2 linked regions of the Drosophila melanogaster genome follow. The protein of the gene in region 2 interacts with the protein of the main gene of each other region in a pairwise test. Each region holds a gene or a part of one and is shown on either strand. Other genes may lie near its edges.

What was found.
Region 1: the proteins of Pgant1 (region 2) and La interact in a two-hybrid assay, tested with the Drosophila melanogaster proteins (one large-scale study listed by BioGRID).

What each region holds. Positions count from the first base shown.
Region 1 is NT_033779.5:20,347,768-20,351,767, forward strand, and holds La (La autoantigen-like), read right to left. Parts: upstream 2,246-4,000; 5' UTR 2,158-2,245; coding exon 1,183-2,157; intron 1,112-1,182; coding exon 914-1,111; 3' UTR 626-913; downstream 1-625. UniProt on the Drosophila melanogaster protein: May be involved in transcription termination by RNA polymerase III. Binds RNA and DNA. Binds to precursors of RNA polymerase III transcripts. May play a specialized role during fly development.
Region 2 is NT_033778.4:15,509,901-15,516,110, reverse strand, and holds Pgant1 (polypeptide N-Acetylgalactosaminyltransferase 1), read right to left. Parts: upstream 4,402-6,210; 5' UTR 4,380-4,401; intron 4,300-4,379; exon of another isoform or gene 4,298-4,299; 5' UTR 4,008-4,297; coding exon 3,346-4,007; intron 2,545-3,345; exon of another isoform or gene 2,490-2,544; coding exon of another isoform or gene 2,479-2,489; intron 2,366-2,478; coding exon 1,844-2,365; intron 1,715-1,843; coding exon 1,093-1,714; 3' UTR 514-1,092; downstream 1-513. UniProt on the Drosophila melanogaster protein: Catalyzes the initial reaction in O-linked oligosaccharide biosynthesis, the transfer of an N-acetyl-D-galactosamine residue to a serine or threonine residue on the protein receptor.

The sequences.
Region 1 (4,000 bases), on a different chromosome or scaffold from region 2:
TATTCGACCTTACTTGTACCCTGCTCCTGCATTCGTTTCAGCACGAGCGACGTATTGATCATACAGAATACATCGATATTCGCAATACGATTCCCAGTTCAGAAAAAAAAAATTTCGATTGTTGAAATAGTTATCCGAAAATGTTGTGAAACTTTTGTGCTTGCGCAGATCTTTGTTTACGTTGTGAAGTTTTCGTTTTGTTCCCCTATTAACTACAATGTCAATGTATAACGCAAGAACTACTTGATAGCCTAATTTAATTTTAGTCGGCGTTGCTATGCAGCCCAAACTATTTAGTTAATTCGCTTAGTTTTAATTCTCCCTAAGTGCGTCTAAGTTGTAAGCGACGTCTATATAATTGTACAAGCTGATGATGCAAAGCAAACCCCTAACGAACATTATATTACCTAATTGTAGCTGCTATTATAGTTTTTCTAACCGTTTTTGAACAATTTTGTTTGATTTATCTGTAATTGTAAATGCATTTAAGTACTTGTAATATTAAATTTTATGCTTTTAAGTTAAATTCATTTACAATAATTTAATACACACACGAACACACAAAGAGATCGAAAATACACAAAACAGCAATAATAAATGAAAATACAAACTAAAGAACAAGATTCAGGTTTTACACACTGGTCTTTATTTGTAGCTTTCTGCTGAGGGAAACAATTGGATTCATAGTCTTCTATGTAAAATAAATTAGAGCCCACCTCGTTATTTAGGTAACAGACTATACATGCATATTTGAAGAATATTCTGTACCTGCAACGATTATTTTGAAAACTAAGAGAAAGCAAGTATTATATATGTAAGGCCTTAAAGCTAGGTCAACTAGATCTACCGAGTAACAATTAAGCTTGGTCTACTGCGATCAAAAGACTCGGGTGGCGGAATATAGGTGGATGAGTTAATCCCCACGCGCCTTCTTACCACCGCCATGTTTGTGGTCGTTTCCGCCGTGGCGCTTGCGATTGAAGCGCTTGCCCTTGTTCCTGGTGAAATCGCGTCGCTTCTTCATGAATTCTATGGCCTTGTCGATGAACTCCTTCTCCTCCTCCTCGGTGGCCTTTCGCAGCGACAGAGAGACCTCATCTTTGAACTTGAGCTGTGGATAGGCAAGTACAATTACGGATTAGCTGATAAGGGAAAAGTTATAATCCCAATTCTGATTCTTACCTTGCCTTCCTCCACCTTGGCAATGTACTTTTCGGCCGCATCGGCCTCCGTCAGCCGCACAGAGCCCTTGGTTTCGCCCTTGGCGAACTCAATGTAGGCCACCTCGAAGTCCTTGATCTTCTCGAAGGCTTCGCGAATTTCCTCGCGGCTAGATGTCTCCGGAGCGCCCTCGAAGACAACAATGGCGTTCTTGGGCAGCTCGAAGGCAGGCTCAGGCTTGGCCTCCTTTTTGTTTTTGCGCTTCTCGTTCTTCTGGGCGTATTCCTCCTGCTTCTCCTTAAGGTAGTCCACCTGCCATTTACGCAGCAGCTCGCGCTCCTTATAAACGATCTTCTCCTGTTCGAGGAAGGCCTTTGCCTGGTCCTTGGTCTCGAAAGTAAGGAAGATGCTGCCCTTGAACTTGTACGACTTGGTGGGCTTGTCATAGTGCTTGCGCATGGTCAGGTTGACCACTTTGTCGTAGTTGGCAGCAAAGTCGAGCAGTTCGCTAATCTGCGAATCTAGGGGGAAGCCCTTGGCGTATGCGGTCCGCTCCTGGATCTCCTTGCGCCGCTCTTCGTTGTGCTCTGGAATAGGACGCTCCGGATGGCGACGCAGGCTAAGTTTGTCTTCGCTAATCTCCACGAGGCCCTCCTCGGATTTGTTCAGGGCAGCCACGATCTCAGATAAGTCCGTGGACAGGGAGGCCAATCTCTTGAAGGTAACGAGCACCGACAGGGGCACCCAGCCGTCCTCGTTCTTGCCGATCTGCTCGCGCAGAAACTTGTCCCGATTCAGATTGGCATCGCCGAAGTAGTACTCTACCTGCCGGATTATGGCGCGCTCCTGTTTGGTGAAGCCGCCAGCGGCTTCCTCTGCTGCGGGAGCCGGGTCCTTCTTGGCGTCGCCGTTCTTCGCCTCCAGCACCTGCGCCTCGGCGGGCTGTGCTACCTCTTCCTGGGCTTCCACACTCGGGGTTTCAGCAACTTCGGCCATTTTAGCTGTGAAAATTTCGCAAAGAACTGAAATGTGCGCTCACTGAAACACGTGTGAAATCGGTAAAATGAGTCACGGCGTTTGACAACACTAGCCCCGAAATGCCGTGATAGAGATGCACAGGTCAAAAACCGTGACTAGCGCCAAGCATTAACTTGAAAATGCAGTGCGGACATCTTGACCAAAGACCCTAGAATTCTAGTGTCTTTGTCTTGACTATGTATTATTTAAAGGCTTTGAAAATATACGTTTGATTATTTAATTTTTGTAGTAGTGGTAATGGTAATATATCAACAAGAATTAAAAAAAAACCTTTACTCATTTACAATTACCGCGATATTCAAAAACAAGAACATACCAAACTAAAACTTATAATTCAAAATATATGTGACGAAAAGTGGTTTATATTATTTTTGAATGTGATTTATCAATTTACTCCAAAACTATCGATGCAAAGTTACGGAATGCTCCCCGATAGCCCTATCGATGCCGAGGACCTGTTGGCACGTACACATCTTTAGTTTGGCTGCGGCCGATTGCAGCCCTGGTTTTCTAGGTTTCTATTTTGGTCGAGCGCTGTGTTTTATTTATGTTTGCCATGGGAAAAGAGAGTTGCTAAAAGTGCCTAAATACGTGCACCTGGTTCACAAACGGGCGCTCCAACCAGTTGACCCCAGCCCCACGGAATCGGCATATGAGTAAACAAGTATTTGAAAAAAATAGTGAGAGCAGTTCAAATCGCGTCGGCCTAGAAAAGAAACCAAAAAATCGGGCAATAAATAGTGAAAAGTGTGCTCCTTTTGCTATATAACCAATTGTGTATATATAATAACAAGGGTGGATAAGTCGCGCAATCAACGAAACTTGGAAAACTAAACTATTAGTCACTATTCTATTATTGCTCAACGAACGACAGGGAACAACAACAAACGGATCAACAAATGTTTGATAAAACGCAACGCAGCTGAAGGTGAGCGAAAAACTAAAGTGGTTAAGAAAACCCTTCAGACAGCTTGGCTGCAATATATCTAGCCGTGGAAATGAATCAGGTTTTCCAATAACTGCTCGTCTGGCCAAAGGTTCAGTGGCATCTGAAAATTCACCCCACTATGCGTCATCCAAGTAGAGGCATCATAGACATCCCCACAACGGCAGACACAATCAAGCCTTCCTATAAGAACCGCCATGGGTTTTTACATACATATATGGCATATATAATAATAGAGCGGGTTTTCTTCCTTATTTCCCCTTGAGATTTTAATATACCCATACTGCTAAATTCTTCATCGATGAAGATATCTCTTACAAGAAGCATTTAGTTGACTGAATTATTGGTTTTTTTTTTTTTTTTTTTTTTTTTTTGTATTTCAACACTTTCTTTTAAGCAACATATTTATATAGAAAATCTAATACATTTTTAGACACATGACAAAATCCTATTTACGTTAAAAACAGTTTCAATCGTTTAGTCCCAACAAAGGACATTTAAAGCTTAAAGCTCAAGAATACATTTTATGTAATGACTCCTGTACTTTCGGCACAACTGTTGTTCAACTTGCTGCTGCTCGTGCAATAGTAATTTGTTGCCGGTTTCTGGAGTTCAGAGGTCCGCCTGCATAATCCATTGGGTCAATAGCAGGGCTCCTCGTGGGGCATCCGTTCCAGCTCCTCCCGAAAAGCGTTTGTTTGCTAGCACTCGCTGCGAAAGTAAAATGCACTGCCGGACGACGACGGAGGCACGTTCTGCCTGCCGCTGCCTGCCGCATGCCACCTGCCTCCCGGCCCCAAACTCCCCCATTGGATTCCCAGAACCAACAAGCATCATTACCCGAACAATTTTGAA
Region 2 (6,210 bases):
TGTTGATGAATTTGGTTCGGTTCGTTCGGTTTGTAAGTACGGATATGTCAGTTTAGTTCACTCCACACTAGTAGTTGCAAATGCAGAACATAAAAGAATAGACTAGAGTGCAGAATATAGTTGTCAGCAGCGGAAAGAGTAAAGATAATTCTGGTAATTTACAATTGTTTTACTCCAATTTAAGTATTTTAATGCCAACACGCCAGAGAAATTAAACAAAAAACACAAGCGTAATCAGCAAATTTGAACAACTTCAACAAAGCAAAACAAAATAAAAGAGAATATGAAATATGTACTTATATCTATAAATACAAATATACAAACATGCAATGGACATTTTTTAATGGAGTTGGCTTTAATTTCACAGCTGGGGGGTAAATGTGGACCAGTAGAGCTGCTGGGTCAACAAGCGGCCACTGCGATATTAACGCTGAACTCGGCCTTGACTGCTACTAACTGGTTACATTTTGTTGGCCCAACACCTTCGACCCAAGGCAGAGGCTACTAATGGTTCGTTTGAAGATGTACATCCTCCAGTCGGAAGTTTTTTTTTATTCATGAAAACAAATGGCAAAATGGTTATGTAGATAAATGCTTACAACACTTTTAGTTTACAGTTTACATAGTTGGTTATTGCTGGATGCTCTCACGCAGGAGAGCTCCTTGTTGAATCCCTGGCCATGGAATGCAATCGTTCCACACCCTGCCTTACATCCTTACACGATCACATGGCGACTATATCATTTACATAGGATGGTTCGACTCTATTCTTACAACTTGCTCTATTTATATTTATACACACAAAGTACACAACACACAGTTAATTGTTATTAGCTTTCCAAATGACTCGTTTGCGTTTGATTTGCTGGTTTCTTATTTTGATTTGATTCCTTTCGATTTGATTTGCACTAGCTACCCCGTTTCTTCTTAATATACACGATTTGTGTACACAAAATATATAATTCTAGGATTCGATTTAGGTATTTACAAAGGGTTGTTCTAATTTGAATTCGAGTTCCGTTCAGTCGGCGTTAGTCAGTATCTCTCAGTTGCTTTGGTCCCCATCCCATTCCCCCGCTACACCCTATCTCCTCAGTGTTCAATGGTCCATCGTTGGGATTCGCTGTGGGGATCGCAAGGCGCCACCTGGGCGTCGTCCAGGCTTTTGAGTCCCTGATGATCGAGGCACATGCCCGTGTTGCTGTGAATGATGTGCTGGTGCTCGTATCGCCACTGCTCGTTGAACTCATCATTCTCCATGCAGGGCACCATCACGACCCGGTACGGTGGGGACTCGCTGTGCTGCACGGTTGCACAGCTTAGCTCGTTGCGCAGGACATTTGTGTTGGTGAAGGAGAATAGCTGCGACTTCTGCAACACCTTGCCGCATGGGTACAAGCCGGCGTTATAGGGCTTTTCGTTGTTCTGCAGCAAATCGTCCAGACATATGTTCGAATTCACAGCGTGCACTTTACCCCATCCCTGCACGTCCTTCGTGGGCACAAACTTCTCCGGATAGATGTTCTTGAGGTACCACTCGAAGCTCTTGCAGCGGAGCTTTTTGCGCAGCATTACTCGGTGGGTGACATCTCCAATGTCCGCGTGGAACTTTAGGTCCGGCCGGTTGAGGAAAAATATGTTGATGTACTCATCCATCCAAACCAGAGCCATGCGGGCAGTATTAATACCGTGTGTATCGCGATCGTTGGGGAATCTATAAAGAATTTAAATGAGTTCATTATAATGCAGCAATAGATAATGGCAGATGACAATAAAGTTACTATAGTTCGCTTCGAAGGTCAGCTTCATCATAAATTATAAGTATATAGTTCGTTTCGCTTACTTGTAAGGATGGAAGTCGCGGAATATGTGTCCAACGCGGGAGCAGGGAATAGTCTCGATGGTGCCGCCGCACTGCCAGATGCGAAAGGACATCTCCAGGTTCTCACCACCCCAACCGTCCATTTGTTCGTCGTAGCTGCCCACTTCCCAGAAGTAGCGACGATCTATGGCAAACAGTCCGCCGGCCATGGTGGGACTGTATGCTGGACAGATCTCCCGCTCCTGCTTGCATTCGCGTCGCTGGCGCTGCTTCTCCCGCTCCGGCAGATTGATCCAGTCAAAGTGGCCATTCCACTGGAATCCGCCGACCTGGAAGGATTTGTAGCCATTTGTGCTGTACTGAAAGTCGTTGGCATCGATGACATCGATAATGGGCACCAGCACGCTAGTCCGCGACTCCTTGATGCGCTGCAGGAGTGGCTCGCACCAGCCAATGTTACCCTCGCAATGGGCATCCAGGAAGATGAGCACATCCCCCGTGGCGATTCGCGCTCCGGCCAATCGGGCACGAATCAAACCCAATCTGCAAAGAGACAGGCGAAAACTTTCTTTATGCTATGTGAAGGGCAAAACAAAACAAATTTATTGGGTCATTCGAAAACCTTCGATCGTCTGCCAAGCACGATTAACACCAACCTACATGGCATCCACCGCGTGAAGTCATCCGAAAGTCTGCAAAGCTCACGGGCTGACGAGTGTAATGCACGCAGAAACCGAGTCTGGGAGTTACAAAAAGTCAAGCCCAACACACATAATCGTAACTTGACGAACTGGTTTTCTCTTCATTTTGTTTTTCGGTTTTTAGTTTTTGGTTTTTTGAGCGTTTGTCGGTTCTGGCCAAAAAGAAGATGCTCCATGCGCGTCTGACATGGCAAACAAGTTATTCAAATGAGTCCAAGTCGTCAGCGTTTCGATTAGCCAAATTACTGAACTTTTCCTAGCCCATAGGCAATAATGGAAATTATCTAGGTGTCAAATTTTCACCTTTTTTGCATTGTTGCACTTATGAACAATAATTAAGAAACGTGTATATACACTTGATTTCGATTTTTAATATATATAAATATAAATAAATATATAAATAAATATAATAAATGCTTCGAATTGTGTCTCAAAAACACGAAAGCATGCTTTAAGTTTAACACTTAGTATTTGCATATGCCAAAAGTCGCATTGAAAGTGAATGAGCAAGTATAACTACTATATTGGCCACTAATCAAGTCTATAATTTCTTGAGGGTTTCTAAAGTACTGGAGTGGATGAAAACTTTATCACATAAACAAGATTGGATTTCTATAGTTTGGCCATTTTACTGGAATTCCTTTTAATTCCTTTTTATCTTGCGGATATAGCTCACGTATTTTTGCCATTCTAGATTGGGAAAAACCGAACATCTTTTTCTGAAGTCTTTGGCGCAAACAGCTATTTCAGATACATTTGTTCTTAGTTAGAGTAACGGCAGCTCGACTTTTTTAGGTCAGACACCTTGTAGCTTCAACTCACCGGTTCTTGAGACGCAGAATGGTGACCTTCCCCGAGGGAATCCGCGTGCGAACATAGTAGTCCAGCTTGGCGCCCAGTTCCACGTTGTCGCTACCGTCATCCACCAGAATAATCTCCTTCAGGGCCTTCTCGTTGCAGGTGCTCAGAGTGCTGTGCACGGTCCTCAGCAGCACGGAGTAGGGTTCGTTGAAGAAGATGATGACCACACTGGCGGTGGGCAGGGAGTCGGAATCAAAGCGCTGTTTGGCGCACAGGGGATTCCGGTGGTCACCGACACTCCGGTTGTAGGTCAACTGCTCGCTTAGCTCCTCGTTGAGGGCAATCTTCTTGTAGATCTCATCGCCTCGTTCCTTGGCGGCACCGGAAAGATGCACTGCCACGCCCTGTTCGCCGAGTCCCACCTTCTGTTTCTGAAGATCCAGTTGGATTATTTGTTCGTACGGCGACTGGGTGGCGGGTCGGGCTATCTCGTTCTCACTGTCGCTATACGCCTCGAACCGCTCGCGCCCATGACCTCGCAGAGCGGCCGCCCGGACGAGTGGCGCTACAGGTGGCTCCTCTGGTGAACCATTCTGCTGCACCTTGCTGTAGAGGATGAAGCAGAGGGCGACTAGGATGAAGATGATCAGTTTGCCGTAAAAGGAACGGAACCGAGGCAGCATGTTGGCTTAAAATATCTTTTGACTGGGACTGCTGGTATCTGGGATTCTGAGGTAGCACTAGCTTCACTTCTCCACTCCAATCTGACTCTGCGGATCGGATCGTGTGCGTCCGCTGTCCGATTTTACCCGCTATTCGATCATTTAACTCCGATTCGCTGGCGAAAAATCCAGACACTTTGTAAGTATGATTCGTGGCTTCTCGGTTCGCCCACAATACCACAAATTCCAGTTTCTTCCCGCTTTCCGTTGAGCGCCGCGCACCGCCGCTTTGTGGAGTGGCTTAAACTAGACTAAATGGCAATATTAATTCTAAGCGCGACTGCCACAACAACAAATCAAACACAACAACAATAAAAAACAACGAAAACTTACTCGGGCATGTTTTCTATACGCTGTTGCTTCAAGCGTTAGTACATTTTGGGATACTTTTGCAGCAACAGCTGTTAAGTCGGCGCTTCGCAGCACTGCCACAGTGGGCATTGCTTGAAAACTTATCGTTCACTGTTATTAATTAATTATAATATATTTATAATAACAGTTTTTATTATTTGTACAATCCAGGTTATTAGTGTTCTGCACATAATACAATGTGAAAAACTACAAAATTATATTTAAGCCTTTGTTTGTCCTGTAGATTTGTAATAAAGTCTTACAGAAAACGTGCTCATATAATTTTGTCTTTTTAACAAAATTTTACATCTTTGTGCTTTAAGAAGATGTAAATAACTTTAAGCAAAGACAAAGACCACTTTACCAAAAAGGTCTTATACATATATCAGTATTCTCCAGTGTCTTTTAAACTGGTTTTATAAGTCAGATAACTAGGCTGCTTGGACAACAAAATACATTTCCCTAAAATTTTTTTTACATTTTATATTAAGAAAATCTCGATTAGTTGTAAGGTAGCTTGGACATTTTTTTTAAAACAAATTTGAATATAAGAAATCTACAAGTTTTTAAGAGTCTGACAAAAAAATTTTTTTTTAATAATTTAGACTATGATTTGTATATTTATTTGTATAAGAACTAATCCTAAATTGCATTATCAAAGCCGATTCGTAAGACATGGTAACTATACGCCTAATAGTCATTTATAATGATATACTATTGGAAGCAGTGTCTGCCGTGTAGATCGTACCAATTTAATGTGTGAGTATAAAACTAATAATTATAATTTATAACCAACAAGCATGCCAAGCCACATAGTTGTCACATCAATTGCGAAAAAAGCGGAAATTTAAATCACAAAACTTCCTGCCCCCGAGTGCCGTTGAAAACGAAAGGGACTGACCGACCGACTGACTGTCGCATTTGACACCTTGGCCGGCACTTAATGCACAAATGGCATGTTCATTTGTTGTTAAGGGGCAACAAATGGGTTTTCCATTAAAAACTTGTTGCTACGCCTCTTGGTCCGAACATGCAACCAAGCACCACATGTTGCCAGTGGAATTTGTCTCTGGTGGCTTGTTTAAATCTCATTTGAATTCTAATTGAGATTGGTTCTCATCGCAACTTTCATTTTGTAATGCTTCGAATTGATGCCAACAAGATTGGCCCCATTTCGTTGGGGTCTGTGATTAATTTGGCTAATTAACGTACGACTCCAAAGTGCCAGTTGCTGTTTTTAAGTGAGCTCTTGGGTCGCATAATTAATACGTTACGTATACGCATTGGTGTCGCTGCGGGAGGCGCCACCGGCCACCAGATCGGCGACCCAGCAGATAAATTAAAGTTCAAAGTGCTCCACAGCCATGGTAATTGGAGTTTTGGAGTTGTGGGAAGCAACCGTTGAGTCGCTGAAAGGTGGCAACTGTTTTGCCAATCTTCGCTAAAACTCCCTAATGGCTTTGAGCGACAAAAACTAGGAAGGAAATAAGTTACTCTCTGGCCGGGGCTCAGTGGGATGGGGCCTTTGTTTTAGTTGCCGAAAAAAAAAGAAAGATGGAGCAAAAAGGGGGAGATATATGCATATACATAGATACGTACGACGTGGAACCAGACGAGATTTTGGAATTTCATTTCGTGTGCGACCTTAAAATACTAGTTTGTAAAAATGCAGCGAATCCGGCATTGAAACAGATTAGTTTCTTCGCTCGAAAAAATTAACACCTCTTAAATTTGAAATACTCTTTTATTATCGCCACCGAAAATTGTGCATTTTCAGCACATTTGTGAAATGTTTAATGGCCTGAGGTCGAAT